Astyanax mexicanus: one gene and its partners. The protein of the gene in region 1 binds, or shares a complex with, the protein of each later gene. Links are inferred from orthologs where the notes say so. Each region holds a gene or a part of one and is shown in the gene's direction. Other genes may lie near its edges.

What was found.
Region 2: nhp2 (region 1) and dkc1 share a complex: the UniProt entries of both Homo sapiens proteins name them as parts of the H/ACA small nucleolar ribonucleoprotein (H/ACA snoRNP) complex. The link is inferred for Astyanax mexicanus from reciprocal best matches to the Homo sapiens genes NHP2 and DKC1.
Region 3: nhp2 (region 1) and wrap53 share a complex: the UniProt entries of both Homo sapiens proteins name them as parts of the telomerase holoenzyme complex. The link is inferred for Astyanax mexicanus from reciprocal best matches to the Homo sapiens genes NHP2 and WRAP53.

Annotation. Positions count from the first base shown.
Region 1 is NC_064424.1:10,693,963-10,704,968, forward strand, and holds nhp2 (H/ACA ribonucleoprotein complex subunit 2-like protein), read left to right. Parts: upstream 1-7,033; 5' UTR 7,034-7,214; coding exon 7,215-7,368; intron 7,369-7,496; coding exon 7,497-7,566; intron 7,567-8,752; coding exon 8,753-8,858; intron 8,859-9,004; coding exon 9,005-9,130; 3' UTR 9,131-9,489; downstream 9,490-11,006. Other genes in the region: grpel2 (grpE protein homolog 2, mitochondrial), read left to right, coding at 500-582, 2,471-2,624, 2,869-2,950, 3,467-3,792. UniProt on the Homo sapiens protein: Required for ribosome biogenesis and telomere maintenance. Part of the H/ACA small nucleolar ribonucleoprotein (H/ACA snoRNP) complex, which catalyzes pseudouridylation of rRNA.
Region 2 is NC_064424.1:18,992,705-19,003,316, forward strand, and holds the start of dkc1 (H/ACA ribonucleoprotein complex subunit DKC1), read left to right. Parts: upstream 1-6,300; 5' UTR 6,301-6,351; coding exon 6,352-6,367; intron 6,368-8,170; coding exon 8,171-8,229; intron 8,230-9,008; coding exon 9,009-9,095; intron 9,096-9,146; exon of another isoform or gene 9,147-9,358; intron 9,359-9,516; coding exon 9,517-9,608; intron 9,609-9,648; exon of another isoform or gene 9,649-9,728; intron 9,729-9,805; coding exon 9,806-9,990; intron 9,991-10,122; coding exon 10,123-10,187; intron 10,188-10,612. Other genes in the region: tmlhe (trimethyllysine dioxygenase, mitochondrial), read left to right, coding at 138-374, 891-1,029, 1,133-1,264.
Region 3 is NC_064415.1:15,363,826-15,374,273, reverse strand, and holds the start of wrap53 (telomerase Cajal body protein 1), read left to right. Parts: upstream 1-5,587; 5' UTR 5,588-5,804; intron 5,805-7,958; 5' UTR 7,959-8,164; coding exon 8,165-8,435; intron 8,436-9,307; coding exon 9,308-9,473; intron 9,474-9,551; coding exon 9,552-9,647; intron 9,648-9,733; coding exon 9,734-9,842; intron 9,843-10,448. UniProt on the Homo sapiens protein: RNA chaperone that plays a key role in telomere maintenance and RNA localization to Cajal bodies. Specifically recognizes and binds the Cajal body box (CAB box) present in both small Cajal body RNAs (scaRNAs) and telomerase RNA template component (TERC).

The DNA of each region.
Region 1 (11,006 bases):
GAAAACAATTAAGGGACAATGTATAAAATAAATGAAATAAAGGGGAAAAAAGAACAACAATGAATAGAATGAGAAGGTCCACATTTTAGAATGTTACTGTATGTTGTGTTTCAATTTTCTTAAAAATTGTTTTCAAGTTTTCTAAAACTATAAAACCATAACAAAAAATACAGCTTCATTAACTGACTGGTGACCAAACACAGCAAAAATACTAAGCTGATTAATATCTAATGTACTTATAAGGTAAATAAAATAAAATTTTAACAAACAAATTGTTTCCTATGTTGTGCTTCAGCTTTATTTATCTTATAAGTACATTCGTTATTTCTTTTATTTATTAATCTTATAAGTACATACTTATAATGTTTTGCTGTTAATGGTTTTATAGTTTTAGTTCACTATAATAATAACACTGTTTGGGTAAGTGAGGTGGAATAGTCCGGCCCCTTGTGAAGTGAAAGAGGCACAGCACCTACCCCACACATGTAGTTGGATAAGAATGGCCGTACGCTTTCTGTCTTCTCTGCGGGGCAAAACATCAGTCGATATAGGCAGATTACCGGTGAAATTGTACAGCGTGAGGTAAGGACACAGCTAGTAAATAACGATCAAATACTGTGCAACTAATATTGGTGAACAACATAGGTTAGGTAGTTAGTGTTTACTAATATAGAAATTGTAAACGTAGCGTTAGCTTAGCTAGGTTAGCTGGATAATAAAGTCTCGCCAACTAAATCATGTAGCTTAAATGTGAATTATATATTTAAGACAGATAGTGGACAAATCAAGTTGTTGTCAGAATGTCCGTGTTGATTATCAGAGCCATAAGTAGTTATTGAAGGGGAAGAAACCCCGCTGGTTAGCTTTACCCCCTTTAGGCCTCAGGCTGTTTTTCCATTAGCCAAAACAGGCTAGGCTAGGCTAAGCTAATGCAGCGTCTCTTAACCCAGCGTCAGTGTGCTAACGCTAACTATTAACGCTAGCCATATTTAAATGTTTCTTCTGCTGTAAACCTATTTAACTAGCTACTAAACTGATGATACTTTAAAATATTATCTATTTTCGGGTTATTTGAGTGTGTAAGTAAAGGGAAACGACATATATATTAGTGTGTGTGCGCCCAGGTTGGCTGAACTAGGTTTTTAAATAGCTACTTAGCTAACGCTAGCTTGGCTTAGCTAGGTTAAAAACACAGCTGGCGTTATCAAAGTGGATCAATAACTCGATTTAGCCGGTGAGGTAGTTAATTAGCAACACAAAACTGAGCACAAATGTTGTCCACTTTAGTTAACTAGTTAACGAAGCTAATTTAAAATGTAGTTGGCTGTTTGTATAGCGTTAGCTATCCTACCCAAAGGCCCAAATGATCCTACGTGCCAGTGGAGTAGAGTGTAATGGTGTAATGCTGCGTGATTGCCAATAATTTAATAGCCAGCTGTTTTTTTTTTTCTGGAGAGGTCGCTGCATTTTTTTTGCATTACTCACTGCGCCGAACATTTATAAAGACACTCTATGTACAAACCTATCCGTACACTACCATTAAACATTAAATTGATCTATTTTAAGATGCTGACAGGTGTTTTACTGTGCCAGCACAGCTTCTGTAGCTAAGCTAACACTGTTTCTTTAATACTGGGGCTGGATTCACTCAAGTGCCTTTTTTTCTTTCAAAATCTCCTCAAGAGATAAGAATTTTTTTAATGATGTTTTTTATTATAATTGGTAAAAAAAATATGTTTTTAGACTTGCAATAAAAGGTAGCCTTAAACGTAATTTTCTGACTTGATGTAAAATTGTCTTAAGGAAATTCTTCATAGAGGTTACTCTTTTCCTCATTAAGGAAAAAAGTTAAGATAAGATAAATACATAAGTTATAAATAAGGTAAACCTCTGAAACAGGTTTATAATAAACAGTTAAGTTATTTGAATTATTGTATTGTATTGTAGTTATATTAGTAATTTAGAATGACTTTCTTTATCGCTTTTGGACACAATACCACATTTCTAATTTCTAAAGATTTTCCCGCTGTTGGCTCCTCCATCACCGTCAGTCCTCAAAAAAATTTTTGTATTTTGCACTAATTTAACTGTTTAATGTAACATTTTAGAAAGCCGGTTAAGGGAAAAAGGAAAGATGCAAAATCTAAATATTCTTTTGAGGGTTTATTTTGGAGAATTGCATTCAGGAACATTTATGTTTCTATTAAAAAAATACAGTAATACAAATAAAAACAAGAAAACATTAATACTCACAGCTGTTGTCTTTGGTAAAGATAGAAACACTTGTATTAAACCCTGGCTATAGAAGAACTAAGCTAACTAATATGAAGCTTTCACTTGATTCTGACTCTTGACTTTTATGTCTTTTTTTTTTATTTTTTTTTTAAGATCCGTTTCAGTATTTTTATTTATTTATTTATTTATTTTTTGCATTTCACGTTTTGATTTCTCTTTTTTTTTTTTGCTCTAGCTCAAATGTTGGTTTCTTCAGTACTGTAGCCCAGAGAGGAAACGACTGCCATAATGATGATGGCGACGATGATGATCGGAATCACACAGTTACACACGTCAGGAATTTGGAGATGAAGGCTGACAAACTGGAGGAGCAGGTTCAAGATCTTACAGTAAGTAATTTATTGAGTAAGATACTTAATGGGACTAAATTAATCACTCAGATAAAAAGTTTATTCTCAGAATTATAGTTCTGTTTATTTGTCTTGTTGATTACTCAATGCTTTACTCCATGTACTCACTTTGCTAATGTTCATTGCCAATGGTTTAATGCAGTTCTACATGTATTTTGTAAGGATGGTGTAAAAAAAAAAAACATGGTTAAAATATATGGTATAATGTCCATGTGTTTCACAGGAGAGGTACAAAAGAGCTGTTGCTGACTCTGACAATGTCCGTAGAAGAACACAGAAGTTTGTCGAGGACGCCAAGCTCTTTGGTAAAGTTAAATGTGTTTTATAGGCATTATAGACTACATGTTTTTTCATAATTACAAATTACAGGTTTTCTCACTTGGTTTAGATACAGTCGATCAGCCTAAACATATTTGTTGTCCAAATTAAAATTAGCACTTAAAACTCACAAATCTTTTTTTTAATATATATTTATTGCAGAACGAAAATATAGTTGCGCCTTGCTATTGACTGGTGAAAGTTTATTAGCAACATTACTGGTAACCATGTAGATCAAGTGTACAGTGTATACATATTTAGGTTAGAATTATACATGATAGATTTTAACATAATCAGAATTATTTTGTAGTAGTAAATCAGTTATTTTCTAAAATGAATACATTTAAAAAATGTATTTCCTCAACTGCCAGTCAGTGTTAGATCAGTTCTAATTCATACCAATTGAATTATAAAATGACTGTAAAGCTTTTATTACAGCTATTTATAACCACTAATCAGCAGTAGTTTGTTTTGATAATTAATATTTTCTGTCTCTTCTTCAGGGATTCAAAGTTTTTGTCGGGACCTAGTTGAAGTAGCTGACATGTTGGAGAAAACTACAGGGAGCACAGAGACAACCAGTCTGACTGAAAACCTGGCCCAAATCCAGGGAAGACTACAAGAAGTTTTCACCAAACATGGACTGGAGAAGATGGAACCTGTGGGGTCCACGTATGACCCTTATCAGCATGAGATAGTGTGCCACACTCCAGCAGAAGGAGTGGAGCCCGGTATTATAGCCGTAGTCAAGCAGGACGGGTACAAACTTCATGGGCGCACTATTCGTCATGCGCATGTGGGCATCGCTGTAAAAACCCAGGAGTCTTGATGACCGGTGTGGTTTTTTTTATACTACCCCGACTTGAAGCTCTTGGAACAGTGCATGACTGATCTATATATGCGCACACTGTTCAGCCATAATATTGACACCACAGACAGATGAAGTGAATAACATTGATTATATTATTGCAGTGACACCTATCATGGGGTGAGAGTTACACATTAGACAACAAGCGAACAGTCAGTTTTTGAAGTTAATCTGTTGGAACTGAGAAAAAGGGCTGTGCATAGGGAAGGAAGGCCAGGCCAGGTTTAGGTTCAATACCACAGATGAGCTACTACAGCACAGATTGCTTCGAAGGTTAATGCTGGTTATGTCTTGTGAAGTCCATACCCAACAAACACAGTATTAGGCAGGTGGATTTAATATTATGGCTTATTGGTGTTTCAGCTAATTCAGTCCCTGATATGATGGTTTATTTGTTTCGTTTTTTGCAGTGTTAAATACCTATGTGTTCTTGTTTATTGCCATGTACAGATTTATGTTTTTGTCTTTATTTAAAACATTCTGTAATTTTGTTTGTTTGTTTATTTTTTCCCCCTTTTACTATTTTTTTCTTTGATTTTGTAATGAGCGTTTTTGGGAAGTCAACACTGATACAAAACTGTATTTATATGTATAAGATGATTCAACCACAATGTAATACAACTGTATTACACTTCATGGTACCTTAATTTTCAGAACTATAATACCTCATTGAACCTTGTGATTGGGAGGTATTGTGTTTGTTTGGGACCCTGTTACGTTTACAACATATTCTCTAGCAGTACAATGTGCAATCCAAATGTCTTTGTACTGTAACTTCTGAGGTTAGCATTCTGAAGGCATTACATAGAGTGAGAGGATGGCCTGAAAAGCCTCTTTGTAAAGGTTTACTTAATAGTGGTCACACTATTACTGACATACTGACAATTTTGGGATGTGTCATGTTTTGTGCCTTAATGTTAGATCAGCAGTGCCCAAAGAGCAGACTCTATTTAACATATTCTAATATTATAAAAAAATATATGTCAGAAAAATATAGCGTTAGTGCACCTTACATTGTACATATAAAGTGCATATCACAAAAGAGAAACTTGTCACTTTCTACAGTGTTAGATATTTTTATATATATAAATAATTTAAGTTATAGAAAGTGAATTGTAATATTATGTGTATATATATATATATCTCCTCACAGCCATGTGTCTAGTTTTTTCTTGTAGTGTGCGGACACTGAGAACTCAGATGCCTATAGGAAATGTATGTGTTTAGTTGTGTAGTATGTGGCATGTTCAGTACAGCATTACTTTTGCTTTTTGTTGTTTCATTAAAACAGCTGAAACGTTATCCTTGTAATTTTTAGCTGTTTTATCTTTAAAATCTCCCAAAGGTTTTTTTTTTTTTTTTTTTTTTTACTATTTTCAAATTTGATATACAAGTTTAATGTTTGTTTCAAATATTTATCAGATCATCCAGGAATACTCTTACTCTAAAGTCTGTAGTCTTAAATGTAATGTGCCATTTTGTATTGCTAAAGTGTTCTTAATTTTAGTGGTATTGAAAAGGCTTAAATTTCCCCATAACTGCAGGAATATTTGGTGTTGTGGGTAAAAAGTTCAACATATTAAAGAAAATAAACGAAAATAAAAACATATTTACATAAACTGTAAATCCAGATTTAGCTAATATTGCTAATCTTATGTCTCAGTTTAATATATTAAATATTTTTTATGAAGTGAGAGCAGTCATAGTTTATAAATGTTTAATTATTATGATTTAATATTGTTATTACACCATGTTACTATGAATAGAGTTACAGGATACAATAAAGTTTTGACAGGTGTAAACACGTATGCTGTAAATAAGATCTAACTTTAAGAGGCTGGATGCAGCAGAAACAGCATTTCAGCTTGTTGTAGTCAGGTTGTATTTATCAGTGCTGATAACAGATGATAATTCAAAGTCACAGAGAAACAGTCATCCTGGTAACTATACCACAAACATTGTGCTCAACGACCGATTTAAATATTTAGGGATCAATAATTAGTGCTTGATGGCTAAGAGCAAGAATTTAATTGGTTTAATTGATTGGATGATTGACATGTCTGCAGCATTACCCATATACATTGCTATAAAAAGCAAAACCAGAGAAATTGATTTTGAAACTGAAGTGGTCTCTTTATTTGTTTCAAATATTAATTATATAATATTTTGACAGTTGATCTCTGTTGTACGATTGGCTGATGGACGAAATGATTGACAGTATCCTCGCTTATTCGCCACGCCCTTTGATTCTTTGGCCTGCATTTACATGTACTACGCATAGACATAATACACATATATGCCGCATATTGGAGCTGATTATCAGCGGGGCCGCCATATTGGATGGGTCTCCCATGCGCCCCAAGTGCCTTTGTATTGAGGAAGGTTTTTAATACAACTATAATAATCACAACTCTAGCCATTTTTACCCGATTTTCACACGGTTGGTTTGTTACATACTGCAGAGATGTAGTTATGATTCAGACACACATTACAAATACCTGCTTTTAAGCTGAAATACGTTGTATTATGCTCTTTAACAAAGACATACGTGGTATGGAATATTAATGTGTATAAATAAGTGTATTAATGAATTAATTTGATATTTTAATGAAGAAAAAAGTTTTATTGTTAATTTGAAATGGGAATAAAACATAAATACACACATACATACACATAAAGTATCTATCTATCTATCTATCTATCTACACAGACCCAACCAATATGGCGGCGATGCTTCAGCCCATGATGAGGTGTCTATGTATATTATGTCTACATTTATTTTTTTTATTGTGGATTTTCTTGCTCTTTTTGAATTGATCTTTTTTTAGAAGTGAAGAGGTTGGGTGAGGAAATCCCCTTTAAAAACGGATATATATTTTATTTTTTTTTGATGTCCCTTTATTTAACCATACAAATTTTACAGTAATTTTAATTATAATTTTAGGTACATTTTATATTAACAAAACTAAGTGTATTGATGTTTTGAAGCTTTTAGATTTTGTTTGAATCCCACTTTTCTTTTTTATGTTTGTTTAGGTTTGTTTATCTGTGTTTTTGTTTTTATGTGCTTGAGTTGTTGGTTGTATATAATGTGTATTTGACCTAATATTGTATCTGTTTTAGGCTGTTGAGTTGTATTGTATACAACATTAATTAAACAAAAATGTTTATTATGTCTATGGTACTTCGGTAACTCCAGGTTCAGTCCTCCGTTCACTAGGGGCGGTCATGAACAGAAACTGAGTGCAGGCTGGCGACAGAGCGGAAGGGTCTCTGGTGGCAGTAACGCAGCTCCAACACGTGTGTTTGTGCTGCTGCGCGGCGAAACACTGCATTAAAAACCCAATAAACAGTTTATCTGCCGTTATTTCACAGTGTTAAATATGACGAAGATAAAGAAGGAGAAGAGCGCAACTGAGGAAGAGGCTGGAGCCACAGAGAGATCCTACCAGGATTTAATAGCCAATATAAACCCCATCGCGAACCCTTTAGCCTCGAGAAAACTCAGCAAAAAGCTTTATAAATGCGTCAAAAAAGGTGAGAACAGCAAACAAACATTCTATTTTCAGTCCCCAAAAGCTAACAGACGTATATAACACTTATAAAAAGAACGAGACAGATCCTGAGTGATCCTGTAATGTGTAATTTTTTATTTTGTTTTGCAGCGGCCAAGCTGAAACAGATTCGCCGGGGAGTTAAAGAAGTGCAGAAGTTCATAAACAAAGGAGAGACTGGGTAAAATACAGATTATTTTAATCTAAAGTCAATCTCAGTCACTTCTGATACTCCTAACTCATAACTGACAAGCTATTCATACATTTTAAACCCATAAGAGCCCAGACCAATTTCTGAATATTGATCATTTTTAAAATTGAATTTGATAAATTGAATTTGCAGCTCTTTCATGTAACTTAAAGGACACAACAACAATTTACTCACTTATTGTTTTCTTCTTGAAGTCAGGTCAGAACTAGTTCTATGAAAAGCAAAACATTTTATTTAAGCCTTTAAACTGTTGAAATGCTTGGAACAGAAAATGCATTGTATAAATGAGCTATTTTTGTCTCCAGCCCTATCCCATTTCTCCTGTATTTTGTAAATAAGATCAGAAAAAGTAACATCCATTCACCCACTATTCTGCAATGTGTGTCACATAGGGACTTCTTGAGTTAAAATGATGGACCGGGTGCTTTAAGGAACTTTACTCATACGTAACCATGTGCTCTTTTGGCTCAATAGCAAGGAATTAAAGTGTGACTGTAGAAGGTGGGTTCACTCCATTTTAGATCCTGGAGTTCTCACTGTTCTGCAAAATTCCCAAAACAAGAAAACCTTGCATTGGCTGGGTAATTGTGCCAAGGGTCAGTGTTCGACCACAAAGTGTTTAAAAATAGATTAGGTTTTTCTCTTAAACAAGACTGACAATACCTGACTCTACCTATTTTTTTTTACAAAAACAGTTGATCTGTGCGCTCTGTTTACTCTCTGGAGGAGTAGATGCTACTTTTTTCCAAAAACATATGACAGTTGCCATAGACATTTATTAAAAAATGTGATAATTTATTATACAGTTGAGCAGTAAAACCAACCAAAAGCCTTAATTCTAAATGAAAATGTGAAAACATGAATGAAAAATACAGAAAAGTTAGTTTAAATTAATTAGCCACAAGTTGTAGCACATTTCTAGCCATCTTTATGGAAAATTTTGGTGACTAAAATGCAAATAAAAAAAAACTAATTAAATTCTAACATTAAACAATTATGGAATATTTATAGACTACAGCCTTCATTACCCTGCTAAAGAAATCGTGGAGATTAGTATAGTGAAGGTAGCCACCACCTTGGAAGCTATTAAATAAACAATTTTCTGAGGACTGTTAAAGAAATAACATTTGCGACTTTTGTTTTCTGTCCTTTTCAGGATTGTGGTGCTTGCTGGAGATACACTTCCGATTGATGTTTACTGCCACTTGCCAGTCATGTGTGAGGACAGAAACCTTCCTTATGCTTATATTCCCTCAAAAGTGGTGAGTGTGACCATGTTGGGTGTACAGTTTATGATGTATTTTAAGCTTAACAAATTACTTAGCAACTTGATAAACAACTATTGATATATGACTGTGATGCTCTTTGCAATAGTTTGTGACACACCTGCCTTTCATTTCATCTGCAGGATTTGGGTTCCTCGGCTGGTTCAAAGCGTCCCACCTGTGTGATCATGATCAAACCTCACGATGAATACAAGGAGTCTTATGATGAGTGTCTGGAGGAAGTCTCTGCCCTCCCCAAACCCCTCTGAGTGTGTGCTTGTCTGCATTGGTGTCATTTGAACATTTATTGCCTTATGTTGATGTTTGGCAGCACAGTTGTAAATGTGCTGTGTGGCCTGGCATCCTGATGGGCCTCACAGCTTTATGGACATTTTGTAATACCAGCAATCCCAGGAATTGCCATTCAGCTGAAAGAATGACCATATGATTTTCATGTTTCTTTTGAAACCTGTTGACTGTATTTTGTGTACTGGTGTTAAAAACAGACAGCTACTTTATGTAGTTTTTCCAGAAATGTTGCATTTTGCTTTCATTCTTTATTTTGACTCTAAAGGATATGTTTGTGTTGAGATATCTGAACTATTTTGAAGTAAAATCTATGAAATGATTTCAACAGTGTCAGTTTTATTTGTTCTGAAATAAGTCATTCACACTAACACACATACTGAGTATTTTATTTGCAGAATATGCTCTTAAAATAATAGTAAAATAAAAATAGTGAGTTTTCACAGATTCTTGATTCTCATATTAAGTTCAGGGCTTTTGACTTGGTCATTGTATGACATTGGTCTTTTCAGTGTTTTCCAGTCATTCATGTATAGAAATATGCAAACATTGAGCAACACTTTAGCAGCTGTTGTTCTTAATAATGGGATAAGTCTACACTAAAAAAATGAATAAAACCAGGATAAAATATTTGAAAGAATTTAGTACACAAAACTCAAGTCAACTCTCAAACTATGGACACTTTGTTCACTTAATGTACAGGTGCTGGTCAACGAATTAGAATAATTTGAAATAGTGCAATCATGAAATTCTTTGAATGCATTTTTTGTGCAGAAAGCAAATCAGGTGTTCACCGCACCTGTCCTACTCGTTAGACTAATCACAGAACTCGTTACCTGGAAAAAAATTTGCTCAGCTGAGCTTTCCAAAAGGCCCATTTAGGCCATTTAACTGTGACACTGTTGTTTTATTGAATTAGAATAATGGAGAAACCGTTTCATTGAATTAGAATAATTTTTATTATAATTACAATCATCACTTTCTCAGTATTTTGTGCCTGCCCCCTTGGCTTGTATGACTGCCTGAAGTCTCCGCGGCATCGATTTGACCAGCTTGGCGCAAGTTTCCGCACTCACAGCTTCCCAGGCAGTGGCGATGTTCTGCTTCAGTTGGTCCAGCGTAGTAGGCTTTCTGTCGAGAATTTTCCGCTTGACGATGGCCCAAAGGTTTTCAATGACATTGAGGTCAGGCGAGTTGGCCGGCCATGCCAAAACTTCAAGCTGTTTTTTTAGTGAACCAATCTTTGGTCGACTTTGCCGCATGAGCCGGTGCAAGATCCTGTTGAAATATGAAGTCTTCTTCGCCGAACTGTTCCTCAACAGTCGGAATCAGGAACGTTTCCAGAACATCTTGATATACGGCAGCATTGACAGTCTTCTTGAGGAAGCAGAGTTTCCCTACACCTCGAGCGGACATGCATCCCCAGACCATAACGCTCTGGGGAAACTTGACGGATCTTTTCACGCACTCGTGGTTGTAGGTTTCGCCACCACGACGCCAGACACGAGGACCTTGGTCACCGAAGGAGATGCAGAAGCGTGATTCGTCACTGAAGACCACTTTCTGCCAGTCTTCAGCAGTCCACTCACCGTGTTCTTTGGCCCACTTCAGCCGTTTCTCCATTTGTTTCTTGTTCAGCATCGGTTTTACTGCTGGAACGTGAGATTTGAAGCCGAGTTCGCGCAGACAACGGTAAGTGGTTGATCTGGAGACGTCAGCGCCGGTCTGCTTGTTCCACAAGTCGGTGAGCTCGGAAGTGGACTTGAACCGGTTGCTGACTGCGATCTTTCTCAGCTGCTTGTTGTCGCTAGCAGAAGTTTTTCGGACGCCGGAACAGTT
Region 2 (10,612 bases), about 8.3 Mb from region 1:
GTTAAATGCATTTCAATAGCTCAGTACCTGTACTCTGAACAATGACAAAAAAGTTGAATCTAATAACACTGTAGATTTTTTCTGTCCATTTCTGTGCATCACTTACACTCTTTTTACCCTCTCTGGCTTCATGGTAGGATCCAGGTGTTCCACTGTCTAAGGCATGAGGGCACAGGCGGCAGAACTCTGTTGGTGGATGGATTTAACGCTGCTGACAAAGTGCTCCAGCAATCACCTGAGAACTTTGAGCTTCTCTCACGCGTCCCCATCAAACACGAGTACATCGAGAACCAAGGCCACCACCGAAACCACATGATCGGCATCGGCCCTGTTCTGAACGTCTATCCTTGGAACAATGAAGTCTACATGATCCGGTAGGCAAAACTTGTACTGACTACTCAAGCTCTCTCTTTGTAGAAATAGTCTCAAGCTGTATTCAGATAAGATGGGACATGGAAAAGTGAAATAAATTATAACACAGATTTTAAAAAATGTGGCTTAAATGAGATGGGAGTAGCTACTCGATTTGCACACTATCATCGAATCATCAAATGACTTGCCTACTTAAAGCTGCAAGAGAGTTGTTGGCTTGTCTTCTGGATTTGACAAAATTGATTCTGTAAATCTTTACTGGTGCAGGAGTTCACAGTTAGTAAAAAGGCATGACATGGTGCATTCATTGTTAAGTTGTTGATGCATGGGTTCTTGATGTGGGAAAGCAATGCTGTTATGTCCACCAGCAAATACAAATGTTGTTTAAGGCTGATTTGAAGCACTAAAATGAGCTTCTGCACGTAGCACTGCTCTAGCTGGTCTGTGTTTTTTGACTGAGATATTCAATAGTTTATGCTGTGATAATGATATTGTCATAATGCCTCTTTGTTGTTTAGGTATAATAACTATGACCGTGCAACGATGAACACGGTTCCTCACAACGTGGTGCAGCGCTGGTATGTCGCCCACAGACAGCTAACTACTGAGCTGAGGAAGCCTGAGAACGAGCTGTGGGTCAAACTTAAACCTGGCAAGGTAAGCAAGCAAGATTTTTTACTTGTGAGCTACATTAGTAGCTAGATTAGGCTTTGGCTTTTGTGTAAAACTAAAGAAGCAAAATCTTTTTCTATCTGTTTAGGTTCTTTTCATTGATAACTGGAGAGTGCTGCATGGTAGAGAGTCCTTCACTGGGCTCCGCCAGCTCTGTGGCTGTTATCTGACCAGAGACGACGTGCTCAACACAGCCCGCTCCCTCGGCCTTCAGGCTTGAACAGCAAACAGCTAACACTAGGACACACCAAAGGATAACGGAAATAGCATTAGCGTAATCGGTACAGATCAGTCATATCCTTTATACATGTTTTGTGCATTTAAATCAAAGGTTAAGAACTTTTAGAGGGTCTGTCTCTCTGGTGGCCTTAAATGTCACGGCTACTTTGGGCCTTAATGAAATGTGTATGACAGGCTTTGGTCAAAATAGCACAAGAAAGAAGCACCACATCAACCATTTACAACCCTGTTTAGAACAGCGGTTTTGAGTGCCTCTATCTTTAAATGATAATAGACCACCGTTATTCCAACCTCCCCCACCGTTTTTCCATATTTATCACTCTTCTCTGCTACACGGATTCTTAGACTTTTAAGTTTATTTTTCTAGTTTAAGTTTTATTTTTTCCAACATTTACTGAAAATTAAGCTTTTTGAAAAGGTGGACATTTTCGAAAACCCTCTTTTCAGTGTTGTCTTGTAAATGAAGAAAACAGAGCTTTTTAAGAACAATTCTTGCTGAATATCAAATACTGTACACTCCCTACGTAGTGAAGTATATAAGGAAAATAAAACTACATTTGTATGTACAGATAGTTAAAGACTTCTGATTTTTACATGAATAATTGTCAGTTTTGTTCAATTACAAATGTATAATTCTTTATTGAAATGACGGTACTATAGTCCACTTCAATACTATAGTACCAGGGAGTAGTGTATGATTTAGGATTAAACCTTTATGTGTTCTTTTTTCATTATGGTCTTTTAAGATCTATCTTCTCTCTATGTGGTGCTATGCATCCAATTTTCATCTTCATGTTCTGCTTTTTGTCATCAATTTTTGGTATACACTTATAGAAAAAATTTAGAAACCACTTCAGTTTCTGAATCAGTTTTGCTGATTTTGCTTTTTATAGCTATATGTCTGAGTAAAATCACCATTGTTGTTTTATTCTATAAACTAAAGACAACATTTCTCCCAAATTCCAAATTAAAATATTATCATTTAGAGCATTTATTTGCAGAAAATGAGAAATTACTGAAATACCAAAAAAGACGCAGAGCTCCCAGACCTCAAATTATGCAAAGACAACAGAAACATTCATATTCATAAAGTTTAAGAGTTCAGAAATCTATATTTGGTGGAATAACTGTGAAATTTAATTACAGTTTTCATGCATCTTGGCATGTTCTCCTCCACCAGTCTTACACACTGCTTTTGGATAACTATATGCCACTCCTGATGCAAAAAGTCAAGCAGTTCAGCTTGGTTTGATGTCTTGTGATCATCCATCTTCCTCTTGATTATATTCCAGAGGTTTTTAATTTGGTAAAATAAAAAAACACATCATTTTTAAGTGGTCTCTTATTTTTTTCCAGAGCTGTATATTTTCAGAATAGCCAAAAGAAGTCACACCCTATGAACTGACAGTTGCTTTTTGTTTTCTTTTGTTTTGTATCTGTTTGTTAGTTTTTTATCTTTTGAAACTCTACCTTCTCAAAGTAAGTGGGTGGAGCTATTATGGTTGGGGTGGTGTAATTATAATCAGATGGCCAGCGACGTAGCAACTGTGACAATTTTGAATGGCATGTTGAATACATATTTTTATCTCCTACATGTCCCACAAAATGAAAATTTTTGACTGTACAATTTCACAGTTTGTGCGTTGGTAGGCATTCCAGATACCCAATGTGTGTGCTTAAATGTATGTTTTTCTGTAATATTCCCTAATAAGGAATAAGGAACCTTTTTTTTTTATTTTATCGCCAGTCATGTCAGACGTTAGTTGGAATGTGTAAGGGATGAAAAATAATAACACCAGGAGGTAAAATGTGAACAAATGTCTTAATAATAATCCTAATATTGAAATGGAACAAGCTTATGAATCAGTGTGAACAGGAAGCTGATGATTTGAAGTTCTTGGGGATCAGTCATCATCATCATCATCAGAGGAGGAGGAGGAGGAGGAGTTTATTTCCTGTGCTGCTGAACCAGACCCTGTTCTTTAACTGATAACAGAACAGGCAGCAGATTTAATGGAGATTACTTCAATGTGGGAGTGATCAGCATTCCTCCACCTTTGACCATGTTGTGATTTAACCTCAAGTAACTTATTGTCAGTGGCAGCGTATTGCTTATATTTCACTAAAGACTAGCTTATATTTCACTAAAGACTATAGTCCAGTTGTCCAGTATGCGGTCAGAATAGTATATAATAGAATTTTATAAATATTTGTAGCTATTTAGAATGCAAAACGTGGCCAAAATAAATCTGTTTTCTTCAGCATTTTCTTAATTCATATGTTTTCCCCTTACAGCTATCTTAAATATCATCTTAGATATGCTTAAGATTGCTGGTCCAAAGTTCACAGATATGAAAGCGCATAGGTTTCAGAACAAAACAACACTTAATTGTTTAATTATTGTATAATAAATTGAGCACTATAAAATACACATCCACCAATTGTACAAAATGTCAATTAGTCAAATAATTCTTGCTATAATACAATGCGCTGACATGGTACAGTTCATGGTTCAGTGTCTAGTATTGTGTCCCATGACTTTTGTCATGTCTAGCCAGTGTTCAGCTTCACTCAAAACTTATGCAGGTGTGACCTTTCCCAAGCTGTTGTCTGTGGTAACACTTCAATTTACATTCTGTTTTCCCATAACTTTTGTCTTGTCAGTGTAAAAATTACATTTCTTAACACAGGTTTAAAGAGTGCTAGCTAGCTAGGTTTCACTATTAAATTAAATTAAATACTGTTAAATTAAAAAACGATCATTTGAGCGACAGTTTAATTAATTGCCGCTTTTTGCAGTTTGGTGATTTTAATAAAAATACAATCAGTTGTGCTGCTCTGTGATCAGGCACTTGCTTACAGACATTTTAAGCAGTTCTTATTTCCATGTTCCATAATGTAAAATGGTTGTGAGGTCTGTTGTTGACACAGAATTTGGGATACATATACAGGGTGAGCAAAGGAAACTGTGAAGAGCAAAGTCAATGTTTTTGGTAATGTCACGATGTGTTGTACAGATAACAGGTACGATCCCAAATTGCTGAAGAATAATAGGCAGTTTGTACATTTGAAGGTCTGTTTGCTGCAGGCATTTTATTTTTACTGTATTTTTACTGTAGTGTAAAAAAATGATTGTACACACAACTAAAGCCTCAAAACCACCCCATGCAAATAAATATATTTTACAGCTTGCATACATTGTTGTTGTTTTTTTTCGTTTGTCTTGTCTAACTGTCATTACATCTCCTATTATTGGGGAAATGTTGATCATGTATATATAATATTCATTGTTCATTGTACACTTATTTCAGGACTCCCCCTGGTGGCCGGAGAGACTCAGAACAGATTCTGAACAGAAGTGGGTTTACTCCTCTCCAGTGATTTTTCTGAAGATTTGATTGGTGCATTTAATTTTCTATCTAGTTAAAGTGGCAGTCCGTATTATTGTGTTTCTAAACTGAAAGCAGAAGCATTTCTGAGTGGTGAAGGGATAAAATATTGTGTTTAATGGTACCAGTGTGCTGGAATGATCATCCCTGCTAAGCCTAATATATTAATTCTTAAAACTGGGCTGTCGGGTCACTTTTCGCAGAAGTTCTTCTGACCATGTCACGCATCTTTACGTCACATTCACAGCCTCTAAAAGAGGATCCGGCTCAGTTTTACTGAACGCGAGTGGCTGGTGGAGCAATGGCGACTTCAGAAGGGGAAATCAGAGCTCAGTAGCTCATTTACCCAGAGTAAAACCAAAGAAACGAAGAAGTGAAGTTTCTTACTAAGCACGCTCTCTCTCTCTGACTGAACATAACCTGGAATCGGATTCATCCGCTCTGAAAGGAGACCTCATCACACCCGACCAGTTTAAAATGATTCTTCCGCATGCTCGGTACAATTACCCATTCTCACCAGAGAGGGCCCTAAATCCCAAAACTTACAGACATCACCTTTAATTTGATTGGAGGATTGCTATGCAGGTGTTGTGGTGTTTTAGTATGGTTGGTTTGATGTTTTTGTGAGTTTTTGAGGACTCACCATCATGATGTAAATACATGCGGATATCGTATCTTATAAAGTCCACATCTCTCATTGCAGTTTGTGCAGGCAGGCAGTCACAACTGTACACTGGGAAAGTTACACTAGAAGAATTGTTTATTTCTCCTAGCATGTGTCTGAAATTTGCATGGTAAATTAGGGTTCCTTCCTTTTTTTTTTTTGCTTTTAGACACATTTTACTAAATATAAGATTTCTTACAACTGCAGTCAATTTTACCGGCATATCATTCTGACGAGCCGTTTAATGAGTTACTCAGCTAGTGGCAGTTGTCAACAAGTCACAGTTGCTTCAACCACTATCATGCCTTATATAGCCTCCGTCTCCCAGTGTAGTCTGTTTGGATAGCTGTGTCACTACTGTACACTTGGAAAAGTATTATGATCTTAATGGTTGCGTACTCATAGCATATAGCATGCATATTGTTCCTTTATAGCCCCCCCTCTCCCACTGAAGTACACTGGACTGCGTCTTAAATCATAGCTGTTGTCCAATCTGAAGGCAGCTGCATTAGTAGCATTCAATTTCATGTTATTTTGTTTGTATTGTTTTGTGTAAAAGTTTTGACATAAAATTATCTTGAACATGGTGTGACTGGTGAAATAATACTTGGCCCTTCTATAAATATTGTGGCCCCTTACTCAGAAAAATCCTAGATCCTCTTCTGGATGCAGCACATAAGAACGTATTAGATTAAAAGTGTTACATTAATTGAAAATATGTAGTGAGAAAAAGTGGAAGCAGGAGAAACAAATAATACCAGAGTAAATACGGATACTTCAGATATTTAGATATAAAATTCTAGTACTTAAGTACAATAAAGATGTACTTCGTTTATATACATCAACATTAAGCAGCTTTATCTCTCGGCATGTGTCTCCACCTGCTGCCCAAGCATTGTATAAAAACGTTTTTCCTTCTTATCGCGAGATTAGGCAGAATTATCCCGCGAGACTTGGGTCTCTGTGAGAGTCTTCACACGTGCTGGTCTGGTCTTCGGCGGGCAGCAGGGGAAGATGGCGGACGGAGAAAGTGGGTGCAGTGTTGAACTCTGTGTTTTATATTATTTCTAAAGCTTTTTTTGTGTTGTATAGCTTCGTTTGTGAGTTTCTGCATCTTTAGGACGCGGTTAATATGTTTTAGCTTTGTGTAAAGCTTAGTAAATAGATAGTTAGACCTCTGAAGGTAGAGAAAATGAAGAGCAGGGTGGCGCAGCTGCAGGGGAGATTGAGATTTGGGGAGCTAGCTGCAGTTTTAAAGACTCTTTGCTTGAGCAGAATTAGTAGCTTATGTCATTTAATGGAGCTAAAATGCTTTTAAAGTTGTTTAAATGTTTTAGATTGTTTGTATTTTGAAGCTTAGCTTAGTTTGAAGGTTACTTTAGCTCACTGAGGTGCATGACTTGGCCGACTTTTACCAGCAAAACTCTTTAGCTTAGCTGTGTAAAAGCCTGGTAGCTTGACTTTAACTCGTGTTAGTTCTATATTTTATTTCATCGCTTTATTTTATGGTATTTTGCAAAGATAACTAGCGTAGTATTTTTCACCTACTAACACCCGGTTAGAGAACTTGGCGTTAGCTAGGCTAGATTAGCTTGGCTAACTGCCTACATTTTCCCCAGTAAGTTAGTCATCAAAATTAAATTGACAAACCTAGCTTAATGCATTTTTAACGTGTCAGTGATAATGCCGTATTAAGGATGATTATTAGTTTAGAGAGAATATTTATTAAATTAGTCTTGGAAATTATTTTAGCTAGCTAGCTTGGGTTTGTGCACCACGTGTTGTCTGCGTTCGCCACGTGGGTGCTGTACCACCAAGGCACTAAATCGCTACAATTTGTTAACTAAGTTACCTATTAATACATTGCATGTTTAGTACAGTTGGTTGTTTTCTATTCCAAAATTTGAACATTCCTGAATAATTTATATTGTGTAGCTGGGGTAGAAAATGAAAGTATTAAATAGTTAAAAACCTAAGGGCTACTGAATTTGCAATGTTAACACAGCTTTTTTTTTTTTTTTTTACATGAAGCTGTAAAGAAAATGCTGAAGCATTGTGCTTTGTTTTTTTGTCGTTTTTAATTTAAATTGATTGCTCTCTTATAAGTGTTAATGTTGTGAATTTATTTTTCTTAATATGGATTGCACAATCCAGTTAATTAGCTAGTTAACTCATCTAGAAGAAACTTAACCATTTAACGTTACCTAGTCTCTTGAAACGTGGTCAGTGTTTCTGAGTGGTTAAGGCTAAATGGAAAATTGAGTGTAATTTTTTATGTAGTGCAGTGTAATTTTTCCAATTCGTTTTCTGGAAAAATGAAAACTAATCTGTTTTTTATTTTCAGATTTTTCCATTTTGGAAAGAGACAAAAATGGTCAAATGAGAATAAAGAAAAGATTTTCATTTTTCTTGAAATTCTGTTTGGGAAAGGCTGAAATTAAAAAACTAGATAGTAAAAAAAAAATGTATGAAAATCAATTTCTTCTTTTTCAAACTGATACAGCCTGACGTATTTGTTTTATGTCGAAAAAGGACTAAGCAAGTGCTGGCTGTGCTACTATAGTTGGCCACTACTAGCTGCTTTACTTTTAAAACATTTAAGATATTTCTCTTTAGTTTTATTAGCTTTAATGTTATACCAAGGTGGCTAGACTCTGTAAATTATAAATAATTATACTGACAGGTATACACGTGAGAGAGACACTGGATTTAACCCAGAATTCACATGTCTGGGTAGGTAGACAACATTTTTAGGTTTAGGCAGTAGAGCTCAAGTCCTTTGGTAATATCTCGCTGAATGTGCTTGTTTTAATAGTTGTTTTTTCCTTCACAGTTGGATCAGCTAAGAAGGAGAAGAAGAAGAAGTCAAAGATTTCCAATGATGAAATTGGGGTAATTTGACAATTTGATCAACCATTATACTGTTAATACTTTTGTTATCTAAAGTCAGAGTATTAGGTTGGACTAACCAATCTCACACCAGCTTGTTTGATATCTTTTATTGCTGACTTTTTATGCTATTTTTTATTGTAACTAAACCAAATGGGGAATTAAATCTGTAAAGAATTTCAAACAGTTAAATAATTACCAACCTAGACAGCTAGCTAAGGTTTCAGTTATATTGTCTAAACACGACAGCTGTTCTGTTCCAATTATTTCATTTAGCAGAGCTAAGCTTCGTAATTTTGTTTGTAAAATCACCCAGCAGTAATGTTAAAGACTGGTGTAGAGTATGCCAAGATATAAAATCTGTCACATCAAGGATAATCATTCAAATACAGTTTTTGTACTTTTTTTTTTTTTAATGTAAAGTTCACTGAAAGGCAGAACATTAGCATTGTTTAAATGTGAATATTAGCTTGACTTTGCATTTTTCAGTCTGAAAGCATTGAATGAAATTTTTATGTGGAATCTGGGAGATGGGTAATTTATGAATAAAACAATGTGCTAAAACCACATGCCTATAAACAGTAAATCTAGAGAACTTCATATCCCAATCACCCCCAGAAAAAACAAATGAGCAGTTTTAGACTAGTACTTGTTGTACTTAACACCTCAGCAGATATTTTTTGTTAAGTACTTGCTCTTAGATAATATGCCAGGGAGAGACATTGCATGTTTTTGTTTCTTGTCACATTGATCATGTGTTTTGCTTTGTGTTTGGCCCTCAGGAGATCCAAGAAACTGGCGATTTCCTCATTAAACCTGAATCCAAAGTTGCCAAGCTTGACACCTCTCAATGGCCTTTACTATTGAAGGTAACTGTTCCTCTTAAATTCCTAAGTCTTCCTTCATGGCCAACTCAGCAGGTGACATGATGAACGTGTTTATCCATTCTCTGAGTGCTGCCGGCTCTGTCTCTCTGCGGCTTCTGCTGTCCGTTCTGGGCTGCAGGGTTACGGTTGCCTGTTTATCCTCTGCTGGTTCAGTGTTCTACTGGAGCAGTGGTGGGATGTTCAGAACAGCCGGTGTGGGGAGATCAGACCAGCGCCAACAAAGACGAGCGGACTGTTCTGATCACCACTTTTAGATTTTTAGAGAATATTAACGCTAATATCCCTTTAAATCATAAATATTGATTAAGATTTAAAATAAATAACTATGCAAGCTAAGTTTTTAGTACTTGTTTGTTCTTGTTTGATTATCTTTTAATGTTTTTTGTTTTGTTTTGTCATCTAGAACTTCGACAAGCTGAACATAAGGACGGCACATTACACACCTCTGCCACACGGCTCAAACCCACTGAAGAGAAACATTCACGATTATGTCCGGTAAGCTGATATAAGGCTAACAGGCAGCACATTCAAAATAGCCACATGATGATCTTATATAGATTGCATTAGCATTCTGTGCAAAGATGACCATCTATCTATCACCCAAGACTGATGGCTTATAGTAAAATTAAAATATATATATTTTTTATTTGAGCTGGTAGAAGTACTTTAAAATCTTACGTTTCTGTGTTCAGGTCTGGCTTTATTAATCTGGACAAACCAGCTAACCCTTCCTCTCATGAAGTGGTTGCCTGGATCAAACGAATCCTGCGTGTGGAGAAGACCGGCCACAGCGGCACCCTGGACCCGAAGGTCACAGGCTGCCTGATTGTGTGTGTTGACCGAGCCACACGACTTGTCAAGTCTCAACAGAGCGCTGGTAAGTTAGTCTTTTTTTTTTTTGTTCTTTTTTTTCTATGAATTTCTGTTTAGTTGGTTTTGTGATTAGTGAGTCTGACCTCACCCAGTGAAACCAGTGGCCTCTCCTTACTACTCTTGCCGTGTGTTTCAGGCAAAGAGTATGTGGGAATAGTACGGCTGCACAATGCAATAGAAAATGAGCATCAGCTTGCAAGGGTAAGTGAGAGCGTATGTGTTGAATGTAAAATAACACCTGTTTGTTGATGTTAAGGACTAACCGGGAAACAAATTGGAACTTTATTTAAATTTAAAATATATTATACATTGTTTTAATGACTAACACTATGTTTCTGGTGGTGTTTTTTTGGTTATCAGTGCTTAAAGAACACTGATCAACTTTGTCTTGTTTTTTTTTTCTATTGGCCTCATTTTATCCATCAGTATTAGTCAAACAATGGGAGAGTAATAGATTAGTATCTTTAAATTGATATTTGTCTTGTATTGACCACCCATTAATGTTTTGTATGTAAAAGATTTAGTTCTGTCTCTAAAATTTGCATTATACAAATTAGTTCATTTAAAGTATTGTCAGTTAAAAATTTAAACCTTCATACTTTTGGGCACCTTAGTCTAAAATAACC
Region 3 (10,448 bases), on another chromosome or scaffold:
CAGCAAGCAGATGGACAAAGTCGAGATGACTACCGCTAGAACACACTGCCTCTACAATCCTGTTCATAGACAATATGACTATGAAAATGAAAAAGAAAAAAAAAATCTATTCCATACTGGAGTTTTGGTTGTTTACAAAAAAAAAACACTTGGACATTTGTGGGTGCATTTCTTTCTTTTCTTCTTTAGTGGGGTGGGTGGGGGTAGGGTGATGGTGTGGAAATGTGACTCAATTCAAAAACGTTTGGAGGTGGGGTTGTGGTAATCACATGATAATACCCCTCCCTCTTGTAGTGAAATGGGTGTGGCAAAAAGAATGATGGTTTCTCCGTGCTTTGAGCATCAAACTAGCATCGAGATGAGGAGTTATTACAAAGCTGACCCAGTTTTGTTTACTGAATTTGTTTTGTTTTTTGTTGTACTTTTTTGGCCTATTTTTCCATCACAGTGGATTTAAGATACTTTATGTTGATCCAGAGCAAAGAAATGGTTCGTGTTTCTGGAAAAGAAAGCAAAAATCATAAAAACTAACAAAAAAAAAAAAAACAGCAAACAGCACAAACCATTTTTTTGGGTACTTTGAAATGCACGAAGGCAACTCTTGACGCTTTAACAGTTTTCTTCCCCATCTAGAAATTGCCTCTAGAATTTTTGTTTTCTGTTGATGGAAAGATGGACGTGTCTACAACATGCTGGAACATTGTGGATATGACCGGAAAAACATGAGGGATGTATATATGTATGACCTCAGACCTGCCATCACAGTCTGTGGACCGTTAGTAGCCTTTCTGTTTCCACATGGGCGATAAGGGAGTATCACGGCAGTTGACTTTTTGCAGTTCGTAAAGAGGAAAATAAAAGAAAAAAAGAACAAGCACTGCCTGGATACTCTCGCTATGCACTTTTCACACACTTTCAAAACTGTGAGGACCCTGTGGGGACAATAAGATGAAAGGGGCACTTTGGAGACATGGCACGTTTGGACAATTAAAATCCTGCTGAAGCCAGACCCTTTCTGTTAGCGTATAAATTAGCAAGACAGAAACAAACAGCAGTATATCTCCTCTTCACTCCCTGTGTACATGTACATAGATCATACACCCCCTTCCACTAACTCTCAGCCATTCTTAGGACTGACCCTAAGCTTGATTCCACACCAATGAAGGAGGCTAATGAGACATCCGATACTCTGAATGTCGTAATGAGGAACACCAGCTTCAGCTCTGCTCCTCGTTTGGAATTGTGAACTTCACGATGGAACTCCAGCCGTTCAGAGATTTCACGCTTAAAGACACACCGCTGTCTGAAGGTTTATGAACTGATCGATTCTGGGTGCTAGATGACAAACAAACAAACAAAAAAAGCTTTCATCAGAGGCTGGAGTTCAAAGTGGAATTCTGCGCATGGTTCCATTAAAGGATGGAGAAGTGGCCTTGGAGGAGGACCAGAGGAAGGATGGTTGAGCTGGTGAAACTGGTTCTATAGACTGCCTGCTACACTGCTGCGGATTACTGTCAGCATGGAGTCGCCTGTGCAGCAGAACTGCCTGTCTGGTAATAAATGCATTTTTCTCACTTGTTTTGCATGTCATGTAGACTTTTAAAGGAAAATTCTAACTTTCTGTAAGCTAATCTCTGTCTGCTGCACCTTCATCGTGTTGTTGATTATTGCTTAGTTATGAAAATAGTAAGAATACACAGAGCCATTTTATTTAAATTCCAAAACAAGTAGTAAAAGCTAATGTCTTACATTTCTTTTGAAATAAAAATGCAGGGTCTGTTTTTTTTTTTTTTTTTTTTTTTTTTTTTTTTTTTTTTTTTAAATAAATGGGCCATTATAAATTTTCCTAAGTTATATACTGTTTATATTGACTTCTATTCATAGTTTAGGTTTTTATGGCATTTTAAGGCATATTTATTTTCATATTTTTCACACAACATACAAAACAGTTGCAAGATTCGGATTAATTAGATTAGAGAGAAATTTTACGTTCATTAATTTTTTGCATATCACTATAATTTGGTCGTTTTTTTTTTATACAGAAATTTGATGACTTGAACCAATGGAAATGCTCTGAAATGACTTGGAATTACATTATTTACATTGACTTTAATTGAAATACTAAAAGAAGGTTTTTAATTCCTGTTAAGTAGACATTTGGGAAATAAAAAAAATGCTTGATAGCCATTTTGGAGAACTTCTATTGGTATGTGTATAATTTTTTTTCACACAGTATGCAGACCAGACCAAGTTCCAGATTCAGAACAACATATTCATATTATGTCAACAATTCAATTTTACACTTTTTAGTTTTACTATTGGTGTATTGTCTACACTATAAATAATATCTGCAAGTGAAGATTTCCTAAGGTATGCTTTGCTTTACAGCACCGTTCACTGTTCGCGTATATTAGCACTTTTAATTTTTAATGCATTTTAGAGGAGTTTCTTAAACCACATAAACCACTGTGATCCTCCTTCTTAACCTTTTTATGATGCTGAAATGATGCTAAAACATTTTTGGAATTCCAGTCTGATATTGATTTGTGATGATCCTCTTTCGTTTTAACTGATTACTTGCTCTCTTTTCTTCTTTCTACACCAGTATTCCAGAGATCCAGAGCAGGATGTTGACCAGCTGTTTACCCCTCTCTCACTTAACACACGTGAAGCTGGAGGAGGCTGACCCTAGAGATCATCTCCTTTCCAGAACAGAGCGAAACGACAGTACAGGAAAGAAGCGGGGACCCCTCGTCTCTTTTATCCATGAAACTACGTTTCAAGAACAGCTATTAAATGAAAACCGACAGATGAGTCTCTCTAAAGGTAGCTTTAGCTCCAGGTGACTGAAAGTGGGAGTGGATAAGTGGAAGAGTGGAGCCTCTGGATACTGGAACTACAGAACTATGGCAGTTAAAACCTGTACAGACTAGTAATGCAGCTGTATGCCCCGGCCCTGCTGCATACATGGCCGGGCATGTTCAGCACACACGCTGCATGATCATCAGATACTCAAATCTCACACAACCCTACTTGCATCAACTGCTGTCTTGATTGGTTTGAACTGTATTCAAACACCAACTCGTACACAAAAATACAGATGTATACAAAGACTACATACTCATGGCAAGTTGCTGCCCTGTAAACTGTGTATACATGACTTTTGCTTTTTTCTGTTGGGTGTGGTGATAATTATTCTTTTTTTCTTTCCTCAGACATGCCTTAACTGTACAGACAAGCCTCTACTTAAAGATTGAAAAATTATGTGTTGACCAGGCTTAGCTCAACATTCTTTTACTTCAGTGCTGCCTAAACAGCTCTTTAAAAAATCTTCTAATGAGAAAAATCAAAGCTTTGCTTCTAATCGAGAAGATTAAAAAAAATGAACCATTTGAGCCCTAAATTAAACACATGCAAAGACGTGACTTACTGTAACCTGTTCAGACAAAATCTGACTGAATAGTATGGGACATTGCATTGCACAGTTGCAAAGCCCTATATCCTTTTTTTATTCTGTACTAGAATTAATTAGATAATGCAGTGTAATTAACCCTGGAGTCTGACTTTATTTGGAGACCCTAGTCTGCTTGTACATTTGCGCTGCTCTGTAGGTAAGTGCAGGTTGTGTAACGAGGTTTTGCACTGCATGCAGGTTTTACAGTGTGGCAGTGCTCTTAATAAGAAGTGCATTGTCTTTCTAACGTTACCTGGACTATCTCTACATTTTAGATTCTCTCCAACTCTCTCCAAGTCAGCAGGTCGTAGATGTGACTACAGGGCTCGTAGAAATGCAGTCCCATATTTTTATTGTGGCAAAAGTTTCAAACCAGGCAGTTTAAGACTTGATAATGACAATAGGTTAACTGGGGTGAGTCATCATTACCATTACATGTATTTGCAAGAAAAAGGCTTAGACACAGGTCTAAAATCTGGACTGTATGGTATATTTGTTGACTGTGGGCTTTATTAGAATGTGAACAAAATCTGTTATCTAAGCTAATGCTACTCCAAACACATAATGGTAGTGACTGTAGAAACATCTTACATTTTCCCAAAAACATTTCATGTTATGGATGATTTTCTTTCCCATATTTTGGTTTTATGCAAAGGGCGATGACAAAATCAGTATTGAATCTGAATCTCCTTTCATGCCGCTCATGTCAAGACATTAACAGTAACGGAGATAAGAAAATGTTCATTTGCCTTTTCGTTCTTACCTGTCAGCTTAGCCCTGTAGCTAAACTTTTAAACGAGTCAGATAAAACTTTTCTGAAGTCAATACTGAAAATGTTAGCAACAAAGTAGTAATGTCCTGATTAATCAGCGTGTAAATAGTTTGGGGTTTTGTTTGTTTGAAAAAGAAGACGAATACTAAATAAATGCTTATTATTAAGGATACAGACTTGTGTTGCCTTGTTGTTTTATCATTTACATTTTGTAAACCTTTTTAAAAAAGACTTGATTGATTGATTATGTTAAAAAAATCACCTTCACTAAAGAGCCTTTTTTTAAGACCTTCATCCTGTACCTCAAGGATGAATTATTGATATTTGCAACTAATTAAACAAATTAAAGTGCGACTAAAAAATATTGCCTAGTAATGAGTGTACAATTTTGTGTGCACAGCTCTGGAAAAAAAAAATATAAGACCACTTAAAAATGATTTCTTGAATTTACCAAATTGTCTGGAATATATATAAAATATATAAATCTGGAGTATAATTAAGAGGAAGATTGATGATCACAAGTAGTGTGTAAGACTGGTGGAGGAATACATGCCAAGATGAATGAAAACTGTGATTAAAAAACAGGTTATTCCACCAAATATTGATTTCTAAAAAAAACTTTCTTAAAACTTTATAATATAAAATTATTTGAGATCTGAAAGCTCTGCATCTTTTTGTTATTTTAGCCATTTCTCATTTTCTGAAAATAAATGCTCTTAACAGTATTTTTATTTGGAATGAAAAATTTTTGTCCATAGTTTATAAATTAAAACAACAATGTTTATTTACTATATACCTATAGATGGCAAAATCTGAACCATTTCAGTTTCTGAATCAGTTTTTCTGATGTTGCTATTTTTAGGTATATGTTTGGGGAAAATAAACATTGTTTTCTTTTAATTTTTTTTCCAGAACTGTATAATATGAGATACTTACTTTTGGATTTTCATTAGCTGTAAATGATGAGATGAGATGCAAAAATAAATAGATAAAAATAGATAAAATAAACACTACAATATATACAATATAAATAATTAAAAGTAAAGAACTTTTAAGTTGTTTAGGGGTAATGAAAAAATATGTTACATTGTTACACTGAAACCTTCTATTTTCTGTAATAATCATCAACAATAAAATAAATAAATGGTTAGAATAGATCACTCTGTTGTGTGTAATATATCTATATAACAAATGAGTTTCACATTTTTAATAGAATTACTAAAATAACGTAACTTTTCAATAATATTCAGATTTGGACCCACGATTTGCCTGATTGTGAGCGATGGTCCGCGAGTGACCTCTGGTGGTTGAGTCTGATATTACAGCGCTGTTAAATACTCACAGATCTCGCGATATCTGGCGGTGTTTATATTGCTGATATGGCGGGTCTGTTCGTGTGTAAACACGCAGCACGAGTGTCTGCTGGATTCAGGCCGTAGTGTGTGATTTAAACCCGGGACTCTCTGCTGTTCGTGTTGTTATAGGGACAGGTTCAGCTGTGGGAGCGAGTTTAACTGCTGGCAGCAGAGCTATCCTCAGAAAGTCACGGCTGGAGGAAGCAGCGGAGCAGAACTACAGGTAACAGCCAGGCTGGAGCTAAACTCTGATTAAAAACATTAAACTGCTGCAGTATTTTACTCTGTACAGCGTGCTGATACATTTATACCCACACCCGCCGATAGATAGATAAATAAATACAGCTGCTGAGAGGATAGTCTGAGCTGCTAGTACTGCTGTGACAGTTAACTAGCTAACCTTAGCTAACTAGTTAACCTAACGCTAGCAAGCTAATGTTAAATGGCCTGTAAACATTAGCTAGGCTAATATTCACTGTTCAGCTACCAATTTGACTTAAGCTAACAGCTATAATACTGTATTTGTGCATTAATCTGATTATCTGGGTTATTTACAGTTTTGTCGTAAATCCTATACAGCAAGTTATGAAGCCCCTTATGCTGTCCATACACTACACGACTTTAAAAAAGACTCTGAAAAGACTTTAGGCTAAAGTCTGAAATTCTCTCACATCTAAAGACAAGACACAGACTTTTTACTTACAGGCTACGATTTTGCACAGATTCTCTTTCTAAGATTATTTCCCATCATGCTTCTGGTGGAGTTTTATATACACATAATATATATTAAATATAGACTCACAACTTTTGTCCCCATCAACAGTTTATTTTTCTGTCACACTGTTGGTTCTTAATTGTTTTAATATAATGCATTTTGTGTTCAACTCTGCCTATGAACTTCTGTTCCCATTTTATGCTTAAGTGTTAGATTATTTTGCTTAGTTTAGGGATAATTTTCTTAATCATTCATTTTTTTAAGAGCTTCATCCTGTACCTCAGGGATAAATTATTGATATTTGCAACTAATTCAACTATTTTATTAACTAATTTAAGTGCATAGCCGACTATAATGCCTAGTAATGAGTGTAAAATTTTGTATGCACAGCTCTGGGGAGAAAAAAAAAGAGAACACTTAATGATTTCTTGAATTTACCAAATTGTCTGGAATATATATATATATATATATATATATATATATATATATATATATATAAATCTCTGGAATATAATCAAGAGGAAGATTGATAATCACAAGCAGTGTGTAAGACTGGTGGAGGAGAACATGCCTCTGCCCCTTCTTTTCCCCTTTTATGCTTCAACCTTGTCTAGCAAAGAATCACACTTTCACTGCTATACGTCTTTGTTTTAGGTAGAATTAATGCAAATACCATCCTAAAGAACACCATCCTTGCAAAAATTGTATTTATTGAACTTGTTTGTATCACAAATATCACTGCACAAATAAAATAACTGTGCAAAAAGTGCCACCTGTGTTTAAAATAATGTACATATTAAAGTAAGGCAAATTAACTGCAAAATGTGTTCTTTTTCAAATCGTTTGTAAACAGTCACATAAAATATTCTTGCCCTGCGGCTTCCTGTAGCTCTCCTATTGATTGTTGACATCACTATTTTTGTGAGCCGAGTCTCAAGGCTTACGATAATATTAAACATGGTTGATTTTATCTTAACATCAGGAAGAGAAAAAGACTGACTAACACTTTCATCCCTAACCACCTTACACTGAACCATTGAGATGACGTGACCGCAACTCCACTCTAGCAAGACTCATGATTTTGTCCAGACTCTGGAAATTCGTCTGTGAAAGTGACATCGCTTAAAAATTGTCCAAAAAGGTCAGCATAAGGTGACATCATGTTAAAACTAAATAATTAAGGCATGACCACGATTTATTAAGGTGTGGGAACGAGATAATTAATCATAGCCAAAGAATAGTACAGCTTGTTTTTTTTGTAAATTAATGCTTTATAAGTTGTCCCCTCACTTTCAGACCCTCTGTCCTTTGCAGTGGACATTGTTTTTCCTTCTTTCTTGTGTATTCTTGCACTTAACCAAGACTGAGATCTATTGTCTGTCCGTCAGAATATACATTTATTAGCCAATCAAACAGTAGCTTAGCTCTACCACTTGCATTGAAAAAGAAACTAACTAAAGTAAAGAATGGCAACATCTTACCAGTACTTACCAGAGTTGTTGTTTAATTTAAAACTGGTATCTACTGGTATCTAGTCTTGATACAGTTATGTTTAAAATTTTCAAATAGTTTGAACATCATTGTTTATAGTTTTAGATGTATTTTTTTCCATTTCTACTTTTTTAATAATGCTGTGATTTTCTTTCCTTCTTGTGTCGCCAGGGTCTTGCTTTTGCTGTGATGTTCCCAGTGCCATTAAGAGTACGATCAAACCACCGTCGCAAGAAACATTACCCCAGTAGCACCTACTTGATTTCAATTTGACAGACGGGACGGAGAATTAAACCACTCGTCTTGAAAATCTTTTGCACACGAGCCGTATTGAAGAAAAGCAGCACATATTTTTTAAATAAAAGAAAGTTCTTGATATGTCGGAACCAGGGCAGAGTAGTGAAGGTGGGGGTTTGGGAGCAGCAGGGCAGGAAGCAGAAGCTGATGGAGAGCCTCCTCAAGAAGGTTCACAGAATCTGCCCATCAGTGGAGCTCAGGAGGAGGCAGAGGAGGAGGCGGTACCGCCTGCTGCCAAGCAGCCACGTCTTGCTGAAGGAGTAGGGTTGGACATTTGTCCAACTGATACAGGTGTAGATACCACATTTGATGATGGTGGGAATCAAGGCATTGTTCTGATCACAGACAAAGGTGAGCTTCTTCTGCTGTGTGGTCTTATAATTAGGGATGCACTGATTATTTTTATTTATTTATTTATTTTTGACAGAAACCAAACAAAATGAAGCACTAGGCCAGATTTTTTAATTAATTTTGACTTTGTTTCTTGTTAAATATATTAAATGACCTAAATAGATTTTTCATTTTATAAAAAAAAAGTTTGGTATAAAGTATTTCGTCTCTTCACTTAAATTTTGATGGAACACATTTATTAATTTATTAATTATTTATTTTTTATACATATTTTGCAGAGTAATTTTGGTTGCCAAAAAGTTTTGTGCACTAATCCTAGTGAAACATTGTATTTTAGAGAATCTCTGAGCTAGTGTTTTTATTCAGTGGTGGGTTTGAAACCATAAAACCATGTTTACACTGCAAAAATCTAAATCTTAGCAAGTGAAATCTTCTAAATTTAAGGCAATAAATCTTATTTTCTTCTCTGATAAGACTTTTTGTCTTACTAAGCATTGTAAGTGTTAGATTATTTTGCTTATTTTAGGGATACTTATCTTAATCATTCTTACTTATCATTTCTTAATCATTTCTTAATTTATACCTTACTTTAAGTAATTTGAACTCAAAATAAGCACAATCAAGTTATTCTGATTCTTGTGTCCAAAACAGTGACTTTTGCTTGATTTAGGTGTTACTTCACTCATTTTGAGATTTTTGCCATTGCTTTTTGTAAGAAATCTTACTAAGAACATTTTGCTTACCCCATTACATAATTTGCATATATTTTGTCTAGTTTTTGCCAATGGATTTTTTGCAGTGTAGTTGACTAGCCCTATTACGTCCTAAAGTAATATATCCAATTGAAAGTCAATGTTCCGTTGGTGTCTCAGACCTCAGTAAGTCAGAGGAGGATGGAAAAACAGCAGGAGACTCACAAGGAGGAGAGAAAGAGTGGCACCAGAATGGAGCAGAAAACAAGGATGCAGTTGAAGAAGCTGAAAGAGGAGATCAGTTGGATGACACCAGTCCACAGGACACATCCTGCCAGCGTCAGTAGTAAGTACAGTTAGCCTTGTTTAAGATGTTTTGGGTATGTTTTTTAAATGAAATCTGACTTTGTCATTTGTTTTACAGTCTTGGGCTAGATTTCAGCCAGAACCCCCAGATGTTGACCGGGTCCTGGGCAGAATACACCCACACTCCTGAGAACTACCTCAAAGGCTGCAAGTGGTGAGCAAACATTGAAAAGTGATACGTGTCAATGGAAACGGTGCATATTAAGTAAACCATTATCTTTTTTTTTTTCTCTCTTTCAGGGCTCCAGACGGATCCTGTATCCTCTCAAATAGTGCAGATAACGTGCTACGTGTTTATAATCTCCCGCCAGAGATCTACAGTGGCAGCTGGGACTTGTTGTCAGAAATGGTTAGCTGCTTTATTCTTGTTGCTAACTTAGAAATACTATAATTATTGTGCATCAATGTCAGTATATTAAACCATATATTTCAATACTCTGATAACGTCACTCTAAATGAAGTATCTGTTCATCTCGCACACCTGTAAGCCACACCCATAGCATAGGCTGCATGGTTGCTTTTCTTGGGTGCTACATCACAGAAGACTGTTCTAGTGTTAAAGACCCTTTTGTATACACCTGTAGTGGATTAACCAGAGGATTTCTTCATTGCTTGGACACAAACACACACTACCCCCACTTTACGGCCTATAAGGAAACTTCGAACCCAGAACACTCTAAAAAAACCTTGGAGTAATCTTTTTTTTCAAACAACCTTAAATTTCAAAATGACATTTACTGACTATTTCTTCACTCAGCCTCGCCCGAGAGCCCTAAATGCGAGTTTAGGGTAAAATTCTGTTTACATTCCTCCAAGTCATAAACCTCGGAGTTAATGTAAACATTTGGAACATTTGCAACACATTTGCAACATTTGCATCACTAGGACGGGACTGCGGACTTAAGAGAGTGTCAAAACTTAATTAATGCCTTGGAAATTGTTAATTCACCAAATG